2 linked regions of the Alligator mississippiensis genome follow. The protein of the gene in region 1 purifies or fractionates together with the protein of each later gene. This does not show direct contact. Links are inferred from orthologs where the notes say so. Each region holds a gene or a part of one and is shown on either strand. Other genes may lie near its edges.

Region 1 (9,334 bases):
CCCACAAAGGGCAGACAAGTTTTGCACAATTTACTGGAAAAGAATTGTTGAGTGGCTGAATTTACTGTGCCACAAGAGAACCAAGACACATGTCCCCCAAAGTTCAAGGGACAAAACAAGTGAGTGCTGCTCCAGTGAGACCACAGTAACTTTGTTATGGCTTTAGAGTGGGGTGGCCAACCTGTGGCATGAGTGCCATAAGTGGCATGGGTAGCCCTTGGGTGGTACATGCCTGATCGGGAAGGGGATAGGCAGCATAGTAGGGCAGAGGGGAGAAAGCAGAGTAGCAAATCAGGTAGAGAGGATAGGGCAGAAAGCAGAGCAGCAAATTGAGCAGGGGGAGGAGAATAAGAGGGCACCGAGGGAGGGTGGGGGGCTAATTTGTGGCATGCCTGCAAAAAAAAAAAAAAAATATTGTCCCCACTGCTTCAGAGGGTGGCTGTTCGCATCCACAAGTGGCTAACCTGTGTCCTCAAACACAGGAATAGTCCCTAAAGTTAACTCTAAAGCACAGACATAGCCTGACATATGGTAGGTCAATACTTCTCAGCCTTTTCAGACTGGTGAGGCTAAGACTTTTCATGACCCCCTTACATTTATTAGAAAATGTCTGTGATCATAAAGCTAAACCTAAATAAACATGTATTTTGAGAAGATCACAGAGACTTGACCTTGAGCATAATAGTACACAGGGAGAGAGATTTCTTCTGCACTGGGTTGTAATATAATTTTTTATGTCTCAGATACCCCCTGGTGGTCACTACCTACATTTTAGTAGTGTCCTAGACTGAGCTGTACAAAGATGAAATGTTTGTAGTCTAGAAGCAATACATGGCTGTGGACAGCTATAACTTTCAAGCATTTTAAAATGGGAGGGGGAGGCTATGTTCTGAGGCACGCATGAAACCACGAAAAATGGCACTATTTACAATCGCCAGGAAATATTGCATTGGCTGGAATTTCCCACAAAATCAACCTAAAAAAAACAACAACCCAGCATATTATTCATATAATACACTGTTTTAGAACGTCCTACTGTTTACCACAACACAAAGACAATGCGACAATCACTGCAGCCATAGATCACATGATTTAGAGTTTGTCTGAGAAGTGACTCGGAATAAGTGAAGGCGCCAGTCAGTAAAATGAAAATGTTTCAGTGCCATCTTTTAAGAAGTGAAATGCAATGCCAATACCCTTCACCAATCAGTGGCAAGGGCCAGGGATGCCAGGAAATGCTTCCGAAATCGGCTCTTCATGCTGCAACCAAGCCATACAAATTATTTTGTGTAGTCTTGCGTCAAGTAGATCCCTAGTCATAATGGTATGGAATGAAAGAGGTATAAATTGTTACAATATAACCATTATATATGCATATTCCTACAAGGGATACAAGTGTAGCAAAGCCATTGTAACTTTAACCCTGCTTCTTTCTTTCAGGGCTAAAATTATAGCCAGTAGGAGCATACAAACATAAATTACATCATAACAGCTGATGCCAAGTGAATGTTATTTCTGTCTGTTAAACCCTAAATGAAATATGGGTAAATTTACAATTGTTTTATTCCATTAATTCCACTATAGGAGCATGCGAACATAATAGTTAAATTGGATTAATTTATACAAGTATACCTGTTACATCTGTCCATGCCCTTTTGGAGTCATGCTTGACTACTGAAAAAAAAGTGTCTAGCGCAGACCCTTTTCATATCTTTCCTACAGCTGTAGAGCTCACCGAGGAATTGCCTGCCCCTAACAATATGTTTGTCCAGCACTGAGCACAACAGAGTTCTGATCACAGTTGGGAACCTGACCATATTTGTTTTTGAAAGGCAGAATGAAGAAAAAAAGATTTTTCCAGAGTTATGGTTGCATTAAGTAGGGACATACCCTAATCTTCAGCTAACTCAACCTTCCTGTCCTGCTTAAATAAAACTGAAATCCAAGCTGCTGCTGAAGACTGGTCTCTATGGGCAGGCCTAGGATTTTGAAAATAGCTAAAGAATCTCCATGGCTGTGAAACAGGAGAAAAGACCACGAGCAGCTAATGGACAGCAAAACTACCCCAAGAAAGGTTAGTTTTGATTAGTGGGACATCAAGACCACCAAAAAGGAAAGGCTGAAGTGCTCAATGACTTCTTCGCCTCAGTCTTCACAGGCAAGGTCAGCTCCCAGACTACTGCACCAGGCAGCACATTTGGGGAGGCAAGTAGCCAGCAGAGGCAAAAGAACAGGTTAGGGACTATTTAGAAAAGCTGGACATATAAAAGTCTATGAGGCCAGATGGGATGCACCTGAGGGTGCTGAAAGAGTTTACCTGATGAGATTGCAGAGCCATTGGCCATAATCTTTGAAAACTCATGGTGATCAGGAGAGGTCCTGGATGACTGGCAAAGGGCAAACATAGTGCCCATGTTTGAGAAAAGGGAAAAAGGAAGATCCAGGGAACTACAAACCAGTCAGCCATGTCATCTCAGTCCCTGGACATATCATGGAGCAGGTTCTCAAGGAATCCATTTCTATGCACTTGGAGGAGAAGGAAGAGTGATTAGGAAGAATCAGCATGGATTCACCAAGGGCAAGTCATGCCTGACCAACCTGATAGCCTTCTATGATGAGGTGACTGGCTTTGCGGGTGTGGGGGACCAGTGGATGTGACACACCTTGATTTTAACAAGGCTTTTGATATGGTCTCCCACAGCATTCTCACAGGCAAGCAAAGGGAGTACGGGCTGGATGAATGGACTGTAAGCTGGATACAAAACTGGTTGGAGCATCAGGCTCAGAGAGTAGTAATCAATGGCTCAATGTCTGGTTGGCAGCCAGTATCAAATAGAATGCCCCAAGGTTTGGTCCTGGGGCCAGTTTTGTTCAATGTCTTTATCAGTGACCTGGAAGATGGCATAAAGTGCACCCTCAGCAAGTATGCAGGTGACAGAAAGCTGTGGAGGTAGCAGATACTCTGGAGGGTAGGGCTAGGATTCAGGGGGACCTAGACAAACTGGAGGATTGAGCCAAAAGAAATCTCATGAGGCTCAACAAGGGCAAGTGCACAGTCCTGCACTTAGGATGGAACAATTCCATGCACCAGTACAGGCTGGGGGCCAACTGGCTGGGCAGCAGCTCTGCCGAAAAGGACCTGGGGGTTACAGTGGATAATAAGCTGAATATCAGCCAGCAGTGCCTTTGCTGCAAAGAAGGCTAATGGCATTCTGGGCTGCATTGGTAGGAGCATTGCCAGCAGGTCATGGAAAGTGACTATTCCCCTCTATTCAGCACTAGTGAGGCCACATCTGGAGGACTGTGTTCAGTTTTGGGCCCCCCATTGGAAAGGATGTAGGCAAATTGGAGAAGGTCCAGCACAGGGCAACAAAAATGGAGAGGGGGCTGGGGAACATGACTTATAAGGAAAGACAAAAACCCTTGGATGGGATGATCTAATTGGGGATGGTCCTGCCTTTAGCAGGGGGTGGGACTAGATGACCTCCTGAGGCCCCTTTCAACCCTAATTTTCTATTATCTTAATGCCTCTGGAATAAAGAACACTGAGCCATTAAGACAACTGACTCCCTCAGCTGACTGAATACTAGTGCCACAGCTGCTGTACTAGCCCTATTTGAATCATATAGGGAACCTGGGCAGAAGCCCACAAATTAACTACTAGTCCCCCACCTATTATTAGAGGGGGTCACTAGGTGTGCAATCAACAGCTTCTAAGGGGCAACAGAGATGGAGGGGGGGGGGGTTAAAGTGTGATCACAGGAGCACCAAGGGGGACACTGAGTAGAGCACCCCAGCCAGCATCCACTGGCCCTCAAGCAAGTCCAAAGAACATGTGGACACTACGCAGTGAAACTGCGTGGAGACACTAATGGATGCAGGATAGCTGACACATTAGGCCTTTTTGCTACATCAAGGAGTTTGTGGGCCAAAACTCACCAAGAAATTATAAGCCCTCTTACACAGGGAGGCCACTAAAAATGTAGCAACTGATTTCTTGGGACAAATCATAAGAAAACAAGAAGGGAGTGAAGGTCACAGGTTAATAACAAGGGAGCTAGAAAGGGAGATTGGGCAGAATACACTGGCCAGTGCCCACTGACCCTTGAGAGTCCGAGGAACCAGTGGCCACTGGCCAGTGGAACTGCTGGGAGACATGAACAGATGAGGGACAGCTGCTGCACCAGGCCTTTTCAACATGCATAGGGGAATATGGGCCAATGCCCACTAAGTAAGTCCATAAGCTCCTTTCAGTAAGGGTGGGGGCACTAAGCGAACATCAACTAATTGCTGGGGACAACTAAGAATGAAAACAGAGACAGGAGTGAAGGTCAAAGGTTTATAACAAGTGCTCCAAAGAGGGACACTGAGCATTGCTCACTGGCTCCCAAATGAGTCCAAGGAGCCAGTGGACTCCGCCCAGTGAAACCGCCCAGAGACAGGCCTATTGGTTACTTTCAAGGGATCATGGGCCATTGCCTACCAAGAAGAAAGGGAGGCCACTGAGAAAATAACTAATTTCTTGGGATAAAAGGAAAGCAAAACAGGGATAAGTGAAGGTCAAAGGTTTAAAATGGGTGCATCAAGGGTGGGACACCAAGCAGAGCACGTGGGCCAGTGCCCACTGGCCCTAGAGTAAGTCCAAGAAGTCAGTGGACATAGACTTCATAGACATTTGGGCTGGAAGGGACCCCAAAGGATCATTAAGTCCAGCCCCCTGCAGTCCCTGGTGGTCACCCCCAGCCAGAGCCTCCGTCCAGGTCAGGTGTATGGCCAGCTTGGCTACAGCCAGGACTCCCTGGACACAGGCCTATTTGTCACCTTAAGGAGCACGGGTCTAGGCCCACCAAGTAACTTACTGACCTCCCGCAGGCAGGGAGGCTACAGGAAAGGTGACAATTGACAATTGAATACGTGGGACAAATAGTAATAAAAAGAGGAACAGGAGTGGAGGTCAAAGCTTCATAACAAGAGTGCTAAGAGGGGGCACCGAGCAGTGCACACCAGGCAGCTCCCACTGACCCTCAAGCAAGTCCAAGGAGCCAACGGACACTGCCCAGTGCTCCTCTGCTAGGACACAGGAACAATGCGGGGCAAGAAAAGTAGCCCTGCAGTCCCCAGGGACCCTCCCGCTGCCCAGACACAAGAATCAAAGCAAAGTGCTTCTACCACAGCCAGAAAACCAGCTCCGTCCTTAATACACCTCCCCCCCTCCATGTGGGGTATGGAGAGGGGTGATTTTGAAGGTGGGGGGCGGTAAGCATACACTGTAGGTGAGAAAATATGGCAGCACAAGGGGGAGGTGGAGGCATCTCCTCAGGACCTCGGCTGTGCAGTGGGCAGCCCCTTGACTTGGCAAAGGCCAGGAGGAGCCAGCAGGAGGGTGAAGCAGTGGAAAAGCGGACCCCCACAGGCACATGCATCGCCTGCCTGCGCAAATGCAACCCCCCCACAGGGGCAGGAGCGGGGCACCCTCCGGCAGGGGCAGGGGCAAGGCAGGACTCCCCCGAGACGCAGCTTGTTGCAAGTCCCGCGCCCAAATCCCGCTCCAGCACTTACAGGCCACGAGGATCCACAGCAGCACCCCCTCCCTAACACGCATGCGCGCAGAACCCACAACCCCCCCTTACCAAGCGCATGCGCAGCCGGCTCCTCCCGACGCCCAGCCCCCTTCCTCCTCCCTCCTCCCCTGCGCCAGGCGCGGCCCCGCCCCCCGCTCGCGCCGCCAGCCCGGGCCGCGGAGCTCCGGCTGCTCGCAGCGCTGGGCGCGGGGCGTCTGTACCGCCCCACGGCACGGCTCGGCTCGGCTTGGCACGGCAGGCGTGGTAAGCGGGCCCGGCTCCGCAGCACGATTCTTGTCGGGGGGGGGGACCCTTTGCACACCCGGGCGGGGTGCGGCGCGGGCATGTCCCCGGGCTGCCTCCGCGCACTAAGGGCGGTCGCCACTGCAGCCGCCCGCTCGCTCCTCTCCCCTGCCGCAGGATCGGTGCGGAGCCGCCGCCGCGTGCTGTGCTCGGGGTGGGGGGCGGGTGATGCCGCTCCCTCTCTCCCAGCGGAGGTCGTCGCCCTTGCCCTGGGCCGGTGCAAGGGGGCTGGCTGGCACTGCCTGTAGTGCCCGGCCCCATCCCTGCTGTGTGCCCCTGCCTCGCTGCGGAGGGAATCGGGTTAGTTGTTCGTGTTGCGAAACGGACCGACCCACGCCTACACGTAGGCACACACGTATACATACATACATACATGCACACCTACGTGCACATAGATACAAGCATTCACATCCACACACACACATACATGTATATGTATATGCCTGTGCATGTGCACACATGTGTGCGCACATGTATATATGCCTGGCATGCATACATACATACATATGCACACTCACACATATATATGCCTGGTGCATACCTGCACACACGCATACCTGCATACATGCACGTATAGATGTATGTACTGCCTGGTGCTCGTGCACACACACACACACACATAGTATGCGAAAAATGTTGAATATTTACTGAGCCATAAAACATTAAAGATTTCTGTGCCATTTTACATCCCTTTTCGCTGTGCTGGAATTGGGAATGGCTTAATAAATATATGTCTCTTAAAAATGCCCTTTTGCAGGATGTTGGGTGTATGTCAGGGGGCTAATGGCATTTTAAAAAGGAAGAGGGAGGGCTGTGGATGGGGAGGGGTAGCTGATGGATGGAGAAACGGAGGGGCGTGAATGGAGCATCCCAGAGTGGGTCTGTGGGAGCTGTGGTAGGATTGGTTGGCCGTCGCTATGCTGAATGTGTTGGTTCTGAATTCAGTGCTTGCTTGAGAGGCTGGGACTCGAAAGGGGTATCGGGGCATTGGCTTATTAGCGTCATGCATTTCGCACAGGAATATTACGCAGCCTACATTTTTTAAAGGTGGGGAGCATTAGAAACAAAATGCCATCTTTTCTGTTTTGCGGGAGTCCTGATGGTCGAGCATGCTGGACTCATGATTGCTTTAGCTCTGCTTAAATAACAGATGGGGTCACTGCCTCAGGGAACTTAGCCTTTAGAGCTGTCATTCTACAGTTGGCAGGCATAGGGGGGCAGACCCTTGGGTTAGTAAGGAGCCCCGAGGGTTTGTGGTGCCGGGAGTGGCGTGTGGATGCCTACAAGCCATGGAACACCAAGCTGTGTTGCAGCTGCAAAGCAATGCAAAAAACTGTTTTCCTGATGAAAAGCTGGTGCCTAAATGTGCATCAAAGGACCCCATCCCTATGATAAATTGCATGAGTGGTGGTGCATAGCATCTTACCTTTTATATAAATCATGATTTAAGTAGGTGTCATGCAGAGGTACTGAGAATGCTGAAGCGGTCTTATCTGCAGGGCAAATACTATAAAATTTATTTCTATATAACAGAATTCATCCAAGTTTCCCTGTACCCTGCCTTCTCCCCATTCCCCCCCCCCCCCCCCAGTGAAATCAAAAGGAGGCTTGTCAGCTCATTTGTTGGTTATAAATAATAGTTGACATTTCCCTTTGGGAAGACAGGGTGCCAGTTTCCTGTGCTAATAGGCTTGGTATTGCCTGACGCCCTTCTCCTGGTGGCAGACAAAAGACAGGTTGATGCTGTAGGTCTGTCTCGCCTCTTTTAGATAGAACCATAGTACTGTCCTCTGTATAAGGCTGCCCGTGGGATGTCCAATTGACACAGACTGACTGGTAGAGCTGCAGGGATCACTGCACTGCTTTCCTCAAAGATGATGCTGGCTGATCCTTTCACTTTGAAATGAAATATGAGGTATTGACCTATAAACCTGTGGTGTGCAACCAGCCTTTCTCTCCTGCTGTATCATTGTGGTGGTCAAGAGTAGCCAAAGAGAAGCAAGAATTGTGGGACTTGCAGGAGGACAGGAGAGACTGGCAGATGCCTAGGGCTTATGGGGAGCATAATAATGCTTGGCACTTCTGGCACCTTTCACCCAGGAGCCATGGAGCACTTGACAAAGATGGGAAACTGAGACACAGAGGGTAAAGGACTTGCCCACAGCCATACAACAAAGTAACGACAGAACCAGAGCTGAGGCCCTCAGTAGCTGTTTTTAAATTCTCTGCTCTAATCCTAATCTTCCCCCACACAGCGCAACCTTATCAGTGTGTGTAGCATTGGGCGTAAGTCACCTGCTACAAGTATTACATAACCCGATATCCATTGGATGTTAGAGAACTCGCAACCAAATTGAGGGCAGGGAGTGGCATGGAGTGTGGTGTAGTCCTGTGAAGGGTGGCTGGGCAAAAAAGCCATGCCTGAAACCAGCCACAAAGCCTGAAGCCCAGAGTTGATCTGAGGGAAATCCTGGTGTAGATATATGTGCTGTACTAGGAGCCTCCCCATCCCAAATCCATCTGTTGTCTTTTGTTCTGGCTTTTGAAGTAGTCCATTTCATCATAGTCTTTGTGACATCTGAGGCCCCATGGTCACAAACTAAGTGATGCAACCTAGTACTGGCATGGTGGTCCCCATGAGGACAGTGTCTCAGACTTCTGCAGGTACCATGCCCCTGCCCTGGACAAGGCCTTGGAAAATACCATTGCAAGGATACATTCCTCCTCAGATGGGCACAGTGGTTGAACCATATGAGCTCTAATAGCTTTTTATCCTTCTCTAATGTTTCTGATTCTGTGCAGAGCCAATCATTCAGCTGATAAGTAACTCCAGGAGGACTCTGCATGCACCAGAAATAGCAAAGCATTAAGGACATTACCTTTAATGACTGCAATTAACTTGCATCTTACCTAGGAAAAGCCTTTTCCCCTGAATCTTTCAGTCTTCAGCATATTCTCTGTAGCAGGATGTGGGGGGTTGGGGAAGATGTCTGGTTAGCACAGGTGGGAGTTACATGCAGAAGAGAAGATTGAGGGGCTTAGGAAAAGACCCCAGCAGGCCAAGGGAGCGGGTTCTGTTGCACAAAGTTCCGTCTCTCCATTACTTCCTATGCTAAGTGATTTTGAAAGAAGCTGACTACAGGACTTTTTGAGTGTGTTGGTTTTGTCATCAAGAGATCTGTCAGGGGGCTTTGCATGTTGATATCTTCTTCCCTTTTGACCAGCACACAGTTCTGTCCTCCGCAAATGTTCCCAAAAAAATGAGTCAGATCAAAATAAAAATCATGCAACTGGCTTAAAAATAACCAGCACTAGGTTTTTTTCTCTCTGCCTTCACAGCCTTTGCTGTAACTTCAGCTCATTTTTTTGAGCTTCCCTCAGCTGTTGTAGACTTGTCTATATCACCTAGGTGCACCACTCACTCACTCCCACTTGCACTTGCTAAGTCCTGAAAGTAGGCAGTGTAGCCG
Region 2 (9,421 bases), on another chromosome or scaffold:
TTACAAGCCTTGAAACTCTGTTTAGAATGTTTTTATGAAGTTATATATGTGTTTGTGTGTGTGTGTGTAATTAGGCTTTTTAGCAATTATTTGTAATTAAGTTCTGCACAGAGCCACATTACTGACTATATCTTGGTTTATACCTTAATTCAGTAACAAGTAAGCTGTTTTACTGTGCTGGAGAGTGGACTGTGGATTTTAATTACCATCAGAAAATCTGGATCCCACCAGGGTGTAGAGTAGACAGTTCTGTAGCAAGGACAGAAAAAAAAGCTGTTTCACAAAGGGAACAGCTTGCCATCTTTGTTTTTACTCACAATAAAATGCCTTTCTAGTAAAGATCTTGATTGTTACTGAGACTTATTTTTGGCATATGAAACTACCAGTTTTAACACTACAGCTTACTGGTAGTAAAGTGAAGCATTTGACCTTATAAGCATGACAAGAGTTTTTTTTTTTTAACTTTATGAATGGACAAGACATGTCTGCCCCTCTCTTGGAAGGATTGTCCTTGTTCAAGTATCCTATATCTTTATTTTGAGGAATGGAAGGTGGGAACCTGGCCCTGACCAGTAAAGCACATAATTTCAGTGGGTTTATTCAGAGTTAAGCACGTGTTGAAATTCTTTCCTGGACTGATGACTATTTCCATGTATTCTCTGGTGTATGATGTATACTGTGGGCTTAATCTATCACTACAGATGCCAGTGACAACCTCATGTTGTTTATGTATGATAGTGCAACTATATTGTACTTACAGGGGATGAACACTTAGAAAGAGATGGGAATTAAATCAAGAAAACCCAAATGTTCAGTAGCGTTTGTATTAGATTACATTCTAATTGTACTAATAAACATTTCATTTTTTCAAGGCGAATGTTATATAAAAAGTGGGTATTTAATGTGGACTGTATATAATTACATGCAGCATTACATTTCCTTCCCGTATAGCTAAACTGGTAATCTGATTTTTTGCACTCTTTACAAAAATACTTACCATGTTCAGTTTGAATGTTTTAGGTGTTCTCTTGACTGAAGTGAGCTTCTGTAATCCTCCTCAGATCCCTAAGAGGCTGGCAAAATCTGGCATGTATTTAATAGATTTTTTTGGTGCATAAAGTTATCATAAAGAGAACTTGGGTTCTAGTAGCCAAAAATAGTTGAACTGAAGTGGGGTTGAACTGTTGAAGAGAACGTCGACTGCAGTGGGCTTGTCTTCTCATGGAAATAACAAGTGATATAACAAATAAATCCAGACAGATTAAATGCCATGGGCAGCGCAAGTGCCTATTTCTGAGATTGTCTATTGATGAGACAGACAAACAATCCATGTGAAACCTTGTATTTTCCTCTAGGTACATCAGGCAAACTATGTTTGTTTCAAAGACATGTTACCCCAGCATTAAGTAACTGGAAATCAAAGTAGCACAGTAATAAGATAAAAAGTAAATTGAATTAAAGGTTAAATGAAAGTATCACTCAAATTCTGTTTGTATCATATGTTTTTATTAACAACCTTACACAACAGAGTTGTGCAAACCAAACCAATATTGAGAACTGAAAAAAAATATCTAGCATATGACAAAGAAGGCTTTGGTTATAAGTGCCACTGTCTACAGCAGAATTAAACTATTGTAAACCAAACAACTTACAGTAAAGGGAAAAATTCTGGAACATCAATCACAAGTTTAGGAATTTTTAAACAGCAAAACTCAAAAATATGTACATACAAACAATCAAACATTTTTATACATTTTAAACATGTCACTTGCTACACTCCTAGAAGTGTTTAGTTCACATACCTATACAACCAGAAAAAGCACTGAAACTTTGTGAACTAACCACTTGTCCACAGGTCCTGCCTAGACACTTTGTCATAATTATGGAAGCGTTTATATAAATAAGTCAATTAAATTCACAGAAGCTAAAAGAAACAATATAAAACTCCAGCTGTATATAAATCTGTACATTATAGTCAGTCTTGTTTTTTCAGAAATCTTGTGTATCTTCTTTAAAAAAAAATTGTTCTTTATTGTAAAATGTTGGCAATGAGACAGCGTTAGCTGGAATGGAAACTTGAAGACTCTGATTCTGTAGAAACAGAAGAATGTCCTGCACGTTTGCCTTTTGAAAGGATTTTTAGGCTCGATCCTCTGCTAACTGATGTCAAAGCATTCTGCGCTGATGTTTTGAATTTGGCACCCAGGAAGGCATAAAGAATTGGATTCAAGCAACAGTGGAAAAATGCTAGGGCTTCTGTAATGGAGATCCATTTGGTCACCATTGTCTCAAAACTGCACCGTGGTCTGAAGACCCCTAGCAAGATGAAGGTGTCAATGCTGATGCCAATGTAGTAAGGGAGCCAGCAAGCAAAGAAAGCAAGGATGAGAATGACAGTAGTCTTCAATGCTTTGCGCTTTTGGTGACCTTTTGAGTGTGACAGCTTAGAAATGATAATACAGTAGCAAATCAGGATTATTAGACCAGGCAGAACAAGTCCTACCAAGATATGTTGAAATCTGAAAGAAATCAGCCAGTTGTCATGAGGGTATATGCGGTCACAAAGGTACTTTTCTCCTACTTCAGTAGTTTTGGCAAAGATTAGATCAGGCACTGTCAAAAGCAGAGCTGGAAGCCACACACCTATATATACTACTTTTTCAGCGAGCAGCTTTCTTGGTCTTTGGCTATTGGTAGCATGGACTATAGCCAGGTAACGATCTAAGCTTATAAAGGCCAAAATCAGGACACTGCTGTAGAGGTTGACTGTGTAAATGACATGTATGGCCTTGCAAAGGAACTTCCCGAAGTACCAGCCTATGGCTGCATCCACAGACCAGAATGGCAACGTGATGACAAACAGGAGGTCGGCCACTGACAGGTGCAACCTGTACTTGTCGGTCATGCTTCTCATTTTCTTCTGGTAGCCCATGACAACGATAACCAATCCATTGCCAATGATTCCCGTCAGGAAGATGATGGAGTAGATGGTTGGCAAAAAGATCCGGTTGAAATCAGCATTTTCTTGCCAATAGCATGGCTCTTTAAGGTCAAGTTCACCTGAACCAACCTCATCGGTGCCATTATCAGGGAATTCAAAGGAGACCCCAGAAGACCACTGCAATAATAAAAGTAAAAAAAGAACAGCTGTTAGCTCCAGCTCATCCAAGACACTTCACAATACAGAGAAGCCAAGTAAAGCTTTGACCCCTAGGGGGATAGAAGAATGAATTAAGTGCCTGGGAAACAGTGATGGTGATGAAGGATAACTGCATTTCCCCACCATGTCATTCTATAGAGCAGTGGTTCTCAAACTTTTTTTTTTTCACAGAAAAAATTGCTGAGGGTCTCGGCGGACCACTTAAAACTTTTTTTTGTTCTACAAATCAAAGCACACAACTCCTATTTTAATACCTTACAAGCAAAGATATTCTCAATCGTCCCACAACCTTTGTGCGGACCACCTGAACGGACCTTGCGGACCAGCGGCCACAGACCACAGTCTGAGAACCTCTGCTCTACCGTTCAGTGCTGACAGTGGGCCCTCCCCCGTGAGAAACGGGAGAGACCTACTGGATCGCCCAAGTCCAGTAGGTCCCAGTTTTATCCTTTGACCCTAACTGACTTCCTGCCCCTGGGGCAGGGGGCTGGACTCGATGATCTTCCGAGGTCCCTTCCAGCCCTGACCTCTATGAAATCTATGAAATCCAGAGGTTCCCAAACATCACCCCCGCTTGCAGCTTCCCGGCACGCCCCAAAGCAGCATCTGTTTTACGTTTTCACCCCTTACATGCCACTGTTCTAACGAGAGTCAAGTCTCCTGCCTGCCCCACTGAGATGTGTCCGCCTAGACCATCTCCTACCACTTTCCCAAGGATGCCAGTCCAGGCAGTGGTTTCGCTTGCTCATTAGGTGCAGAAGTACGGGGAGCAAACCCGCTTGTGCCCGCTGCGGGCTGCATCTGTAGTGCTGGGAGCCCGGCAGGGAGGAGGGGAATCCCGGGCAGGAGGAGGAGGAGGGGATCCCTGCCTAGCAGCATAGGAGCCCGGGGGAGCCGGGCAGAAGCGTCCCGTGCAAACGGGTAGCGAAAGCAGCGCGGCGGGAAATCACCAACGCTCCGGACTCCCGGCGTGAAACTCCCGCCTCGCCCCCGGGCTCCGGCCACGTGCCGCCCCTGCTCCGGGCAGCGCCTGCATGCATGTTGTGGGGGAGGGAGTGGGGGTTCACCTCCGGGCAGCATCTGCCGGGGCCGGGCTGAGCCCCGTTGGCACCCGCGCCGTCTCCTCCCCGCCGGGAGCCGGGCTCCTGCCCTGCCTTGCCCGCGCCTCCCCGCCGGGGCTGCAGCCCGCCCGCCCGCCCGCCCGCCCGCTCACACGTGGCCCCTTGCCCAGCGCCGCGCTCACCCCGTCCAGCCCGTCCAGCTCCATGCTGCCGCCCCAGCGTCCTGCGGAGCACGCCCCGCGCCGCCCCGGCTCTTATCGTCTCCGCCGCACCCGGCCCGCCTGGCTCCTCCCCGCGGGGCCGGCCCTGCCCTGCCCCGCCGCCCCGCGCTGGGTGGGGCCGTGCCCGTCCCGGGGATGGCAGCCCATTGCAAAGTGAAGGGCGCGCGATTGAATTGAGCCCGGCTGGGCTGGGCTGGGTTGGGCCGGCCCGCGCGGGGCCGGGGGCACCTGCTGGCTGGGGAGCGGCCCGGACACCCCGAGCGAGAGAGAGGGGACATGAGTGAGCAGCGCGCTGCCCCTTCTCCGCCGGGGTCTCTCCTCCGCGAGGTCCCGTGCTTGTCGGCCGTGGAGCCGGCCTGCGCTCGGGACTCTGCGGCGGCACAGGGCGGGATGATGACTGAGCAGCTCGTGGGCTGAGAGGGGCAGGCAGGCAGGCAGACGGCAAGGGAAGGAAAGGAAAGGGAAAACAGAAAAGCAGCATCTGTGATCGGTGTTCACATTTCCATCGCCAGTGCAGCTGTGTGATTAAAACCTCTAAATACAAAGCATGGGCGACTGGTGCCTCCTGAGTTGGGAGGGGCACTTGCCCCCCCGCATCCAGTCGGCAACTAGGGGGGGTCCCCCCAATGGCTGATCACAACAAGTGCCAGGGGCGCTTTTCCTGGAGCCCCCACCCCCTCACCAGCGTGCTTAGGGGGACACTGCCCCCCCCCCCGCCTATCACCTAAGCGGGGTACGCTGGCTGTCGGGGTGCACCAGCACTCTTGGGGTGCACATGCACCCCTGTGCACCCTCTACACCACTGATACAAAGGCTTCCCACTGGCCGGGCACCTTTGGAGCAGCTCCTACTCCTGGTTCAAAGTTGAAAGCATTGACTGTGGGCCAGATTGAATGAAAAGTTCAGCACAAGCCACCAAAAAGTTGCCATTTCATTTGGGTGCCTCAGTACTGGAGCTCTATGGAAAATCTGGCTCTGAGTTGCCAGAAGTTAGGATGTTAACAGGTGTGTTTTGATGGAGAATGTGTTCTGGGAAAGACAGAGAAGGTCAGGTGTGGACTCCAGCTGCATACCTGGTACATCTACAGTATGTTTTGCTGCCTCTCCTGGGGCTGAAACTATGACCAACAGACTTGCAGACAAGCTGAAAAAAACCTTAGGGGTATCACAGATTTTAAGACTAGGTACAGAAGTTTGAGGGCCAGTGTACTAGTTAATAGGAAAGGCATACTGGATGTATTAGAGATGTATGGTTTGTCTACACAGAAAAATGAGGGTGTAGGCATGTGTGGATTGTCATATATGTACTAGATTGAATGTAGATAGCAAGAACAACAACAGCAATGCAGATGTGGGATTACAGACTCTAAAGCAGTGGTGGCTAGCCTGCGGCACAAGTGGTAGGCAGCAGATGGGCAGCTTCTTTGTGTGGTAGGGAACAGATGTGGGAGGAGACAGGCAGCACAACAGCAGGTAGAGCAGGAAGCAGAAGGTAAAGGCGGAGATCAGGCAGGGAGTACAGGTGGGAAACAGAAAGTAGACCAGGAGACTGGGTGGGGAGAACAGAGTATGGAGCGAAAAGCAGAGCAGCACATTGGGCAAAGGAGGGAGATTGGAGTGGCTTTTGGGGAGGTTATGGTGCTAGTTTGTGGTATGCAAAAAGATTGACCCCCACTGCTCTAGAGCATGTTGGTAGTGGGTTTATGATGTATTTGTATTGCTAACTTGAGCTGAAGCCCATTTTACCTCTGCTATTGTTCCCTTTGCTGGATTAAAGTGAGTTTACTCTGCTATTACTATTTCAGTTTACTACGGAGGTTTAGGGTCAGTGTGAGAAGTGGGAAGTGGTTTCTTGAAATAATTGAATGAATGACATTAAATTGCACTAGGACATATATACGAAGGTTGGGGTTGAGGGATGTCTTAGCTCCTGGAACTGTGGTTCTGAATTCTGATAGCATGCACAGATTATGCAGGACAGGGGTGCCCACTCTTTGGCCCACAGGTCAGATGCAGCCTGCAAACCCAGTGCATCTGGCATGCAGGGCCCCTAATGGGGCAGGAAATTTGGTGGCAGGGAAGCAGTGTCCATTAATACAGACATCCTCTCTTCACCAAATTCCCAAACTCCAAGCTCTGCATGGCTGGTTGCAGCCAGGCCTCACCCTTTCCCCTGCATCTGGACCAGGGGCTGAGTCACACCCCCTCCCAGCCACAGGCTAGGTTGATGCCAGGTTATGTGCACTTCCCTTCCTGCAGAGCTGGGATACATCCCCTTGCCCCTGTCCTGGGGCCAAGCCATGACCTCTTTTTCCCCTTAGGGCCAGATTGGGGCCATGACTCCCTCCATGGGGGCAAGCCACACCCGCTTTATCCCTATGGGGCCAAGCCATGTCCTCTTTCTCTGCAGGGCTGGGTTGCAGTTGGGTTGCTCCGCATCCCCCTCTGCATTGCTGGATGGTGCCCACCATGCTGGGCCCGGTGCCAGATTGAGAGCTGCGCAATCCAGCCCATCCAGCCAGCTGGGGAAAAAAGGTTGAGCACTACTGAAGTAGGATATTTGAAGATTGGCCAAATGGGATAGCACTGGAGTACAGACTCCCTGAATCCAGCATAAATCTAGATCAGTGATTCTCAACCAGGGTGCTGTGACATGCTGCGTACCTTGATACCCTTTCTAGGGTGTCACAGGGTGCCATGCAGTATTAGCACTGTTAGGTGGGCAAACAACTCGCACGATAAACCCATAGACATTTCAAATAGGAATCCATAATGTTGAAGACATTCTAACCTGTTGTGGTCTTTCTGAGTTCATTGCAACAGAAGAATTGCTCTATTATTTTCTTAAAAAAAACAGCGAAAACCAGGAGTTGGCATTTTTTTGAATGGTGCCTTGCATCTATTGAGGGGTACCTCTAGTCTAAAAGGGCTGAGAACCACTGATCTAGATGTGTTGTATCTATAGTTGCTTTTCTTTGCCCTACCAAAAATGCATGTGAAAACTTCTTTTGTTGTAAGGGGGACTGCAGTGTGAGGGTTAATGATTTCCAAAGTGATAAAAGAAGCATGTAATTCAATGAGTGAGCTACAAATCTTCAAGAGACAGTGCAAGCAAATAGCAATTTACAAGCTAATGTATTGCACTAAATGTTTTTCTGATGAGAAAATTACTGTGGAAATCAGGTCCCTCCCAACACAGTGTGCATTTGTTTCATAAAAACATGCAATTTGGGAAGTGAAATCCTACATATTCTTAAACTATAGTGCAAGCAACCAAGGTCCTCAGGTTGTGAATCATTAACATGGATTTTGTCTGCTAAAAAGAAATATCTATGTCTGTCAATGAAGAGTAAAATTGTTCCTGATATATTTAGTTGAAAAACTAGTTATAAAGCATGTTTCCAGAGAGCCAGAGTAGAAAAATAATTTATATTTAATTATTGTGTGGGTTACCTCATTTAAGGAGTTGAATGTGATCTTAGGGAAGCAAAGTTTCAGCTAATGAAATGCTGATTACACAGTTCTGTGGGTAGGGCACCTAGTACACGTGGGTGCTAATCCCTGATTTATGCTGTGTAGATACCACCACAATGCACACAAATAGTAATAGTCTGTATCATGCTATGTGAATTAACTGCTCCTCAGTTTGTAAGGTGCTACACTGCTGTCTTCACATATGTTTCTTAATATATAGGCAGAAGGCAGGGTAGAATTGCACTTTATAGACTAACTAAAGCAGAGATGTATAGCATAAGCCTCCATGAGACCCAGCTTTACTTTGTCATTTGCTAATTAATTCAAAGACTCATGCTATACATCTATGATTCAGTTAGTCTCTACTGTGCAAATCTACCCTTGCTTCTGCCTGACTTGAGACTAACACGGCTAACTACCTCTCTCTTCAGTATATATCCATACATATACATACACTATTAATCTGCCTAAATTACTATGCCATTTATTATAGATGCATTTTTAACTACTCACATAAGCATATACAAACCCAGTATATTTTAGGGTTTTATAAAATAGCCTTTGAGGTAGAAAAAATACATACTGGATTAAAAAAAAAGGCAGGAAATCTGCCCAGAATTATTGTTTATGTTTGGGAAGAAGTTTGGGGAAGAAAGGATAGTTTCTTATACAAAGGAGAGGGATCTGGTGTTAAGGAACAGGCTGGCTATTGTAATGGGGGCAGAGCAGGGCAGCGGGGCAGGAACATCCCTGATCTCACCTGCTCCAGTTAGGAGCAAATTTTCTCCCAAGTCAGTGCATGTTTAGACCCTTTCTCTGAGGGCAATTTACTTCTCCTTTTTAATATGCAGTAACTACTGTGGATGAATACCATGTGTAGATGTGCCCCCCATAATTCTTCCTATAGTTACTTGTTTGGGAGCTTAACAAACAAAACAACAGGAAATGCAGAGAAGGCAAAACATTTGTTTCAGTTGGGGTCGTATCATGTGCCATAATAATGACACTGTGCAAAGGCGTGTTGTTCAATTGTTTCTTATGGAGCAAATTAAAGTAAAAGCTTTAGCATCCTTAAAAGACAACAGAATATGACATTTATGGCGTAAGGGAGTACACCTAGTTGCTTCCTGCCTTTGAGAGGACTGAAATTGGCCCGGTGTGTGCATGATGGTAATTAATTTAGGTTTCCTTCAAGTATTCCTTGCCTGGACCTCCACTGGGTTAAGATCTTAATGGTCTGCCCAGAAAAGATGAGCCTAATAATAATACTCTTATTATTTAATCATAATCTAATAATACTCATATTATTTGTGCTCTAATCCCATCTCCATCTGTAGCCTAAAGCAAATCACTTAACCTCTCTGCTGTGTTCACTCAACTGTAAAATGTGGGTAAGAGTACTTACTTACCTGCCTCGGAGGAGTGTTGTAGGGACTAATTGTTTGATGTTTGGAAGGCCCTTTGAAGATGGAAAGTAGTTATTTTAGACCCTGTTGATATTATTG

Evidence for each region.
Region 2: the proteins of TMEM63B (region 1) and CXCR4 purify together in Homo sapiens (co-immunoprecipitation; 3 studies listed by BioGRID and IntAct, with this or other methods). This does not show direct contact. The link is inferred for Alligator mississippiensis from reciprocal best matches to the Homo sapiens genes TMEM63B and CXCR4.

The regions. Positions count from the first base shown.
Region 1 is NC_081824.1:169,490,860-169,500,193, forward strand, and holds the start of TMEM63B (CSC1-like protein 2), read left to right. Parts: upstream 1-5,705; 5' UTR 5,706-5,825; intron 5,826-9,334. Other genes in the region: MRPL14 (large ribosomal subunit protein uL14m), read right to left, coding at 5,560-5,602. UniProt on the Homo sapiens protein: Mechanosensitive cation channel with low conductance and high activation threshold. Osmosensitive cation channel preferentially activated by hypotonic stress.
Region 2 is NC_081827.1:237,449,870-237,459,290, reverse strand, and holds CXCR4 (C-X-C chemokine receptor type 4), read right to left. Parts: upstream 4,499-9,421; 5' UTR 4,428-4,498; coding exon 4,404-4,427; intron 3,119-4,403; coding exon 2,060-3,118; 3' UTR 1,485-2,059; downstream 1-1,484.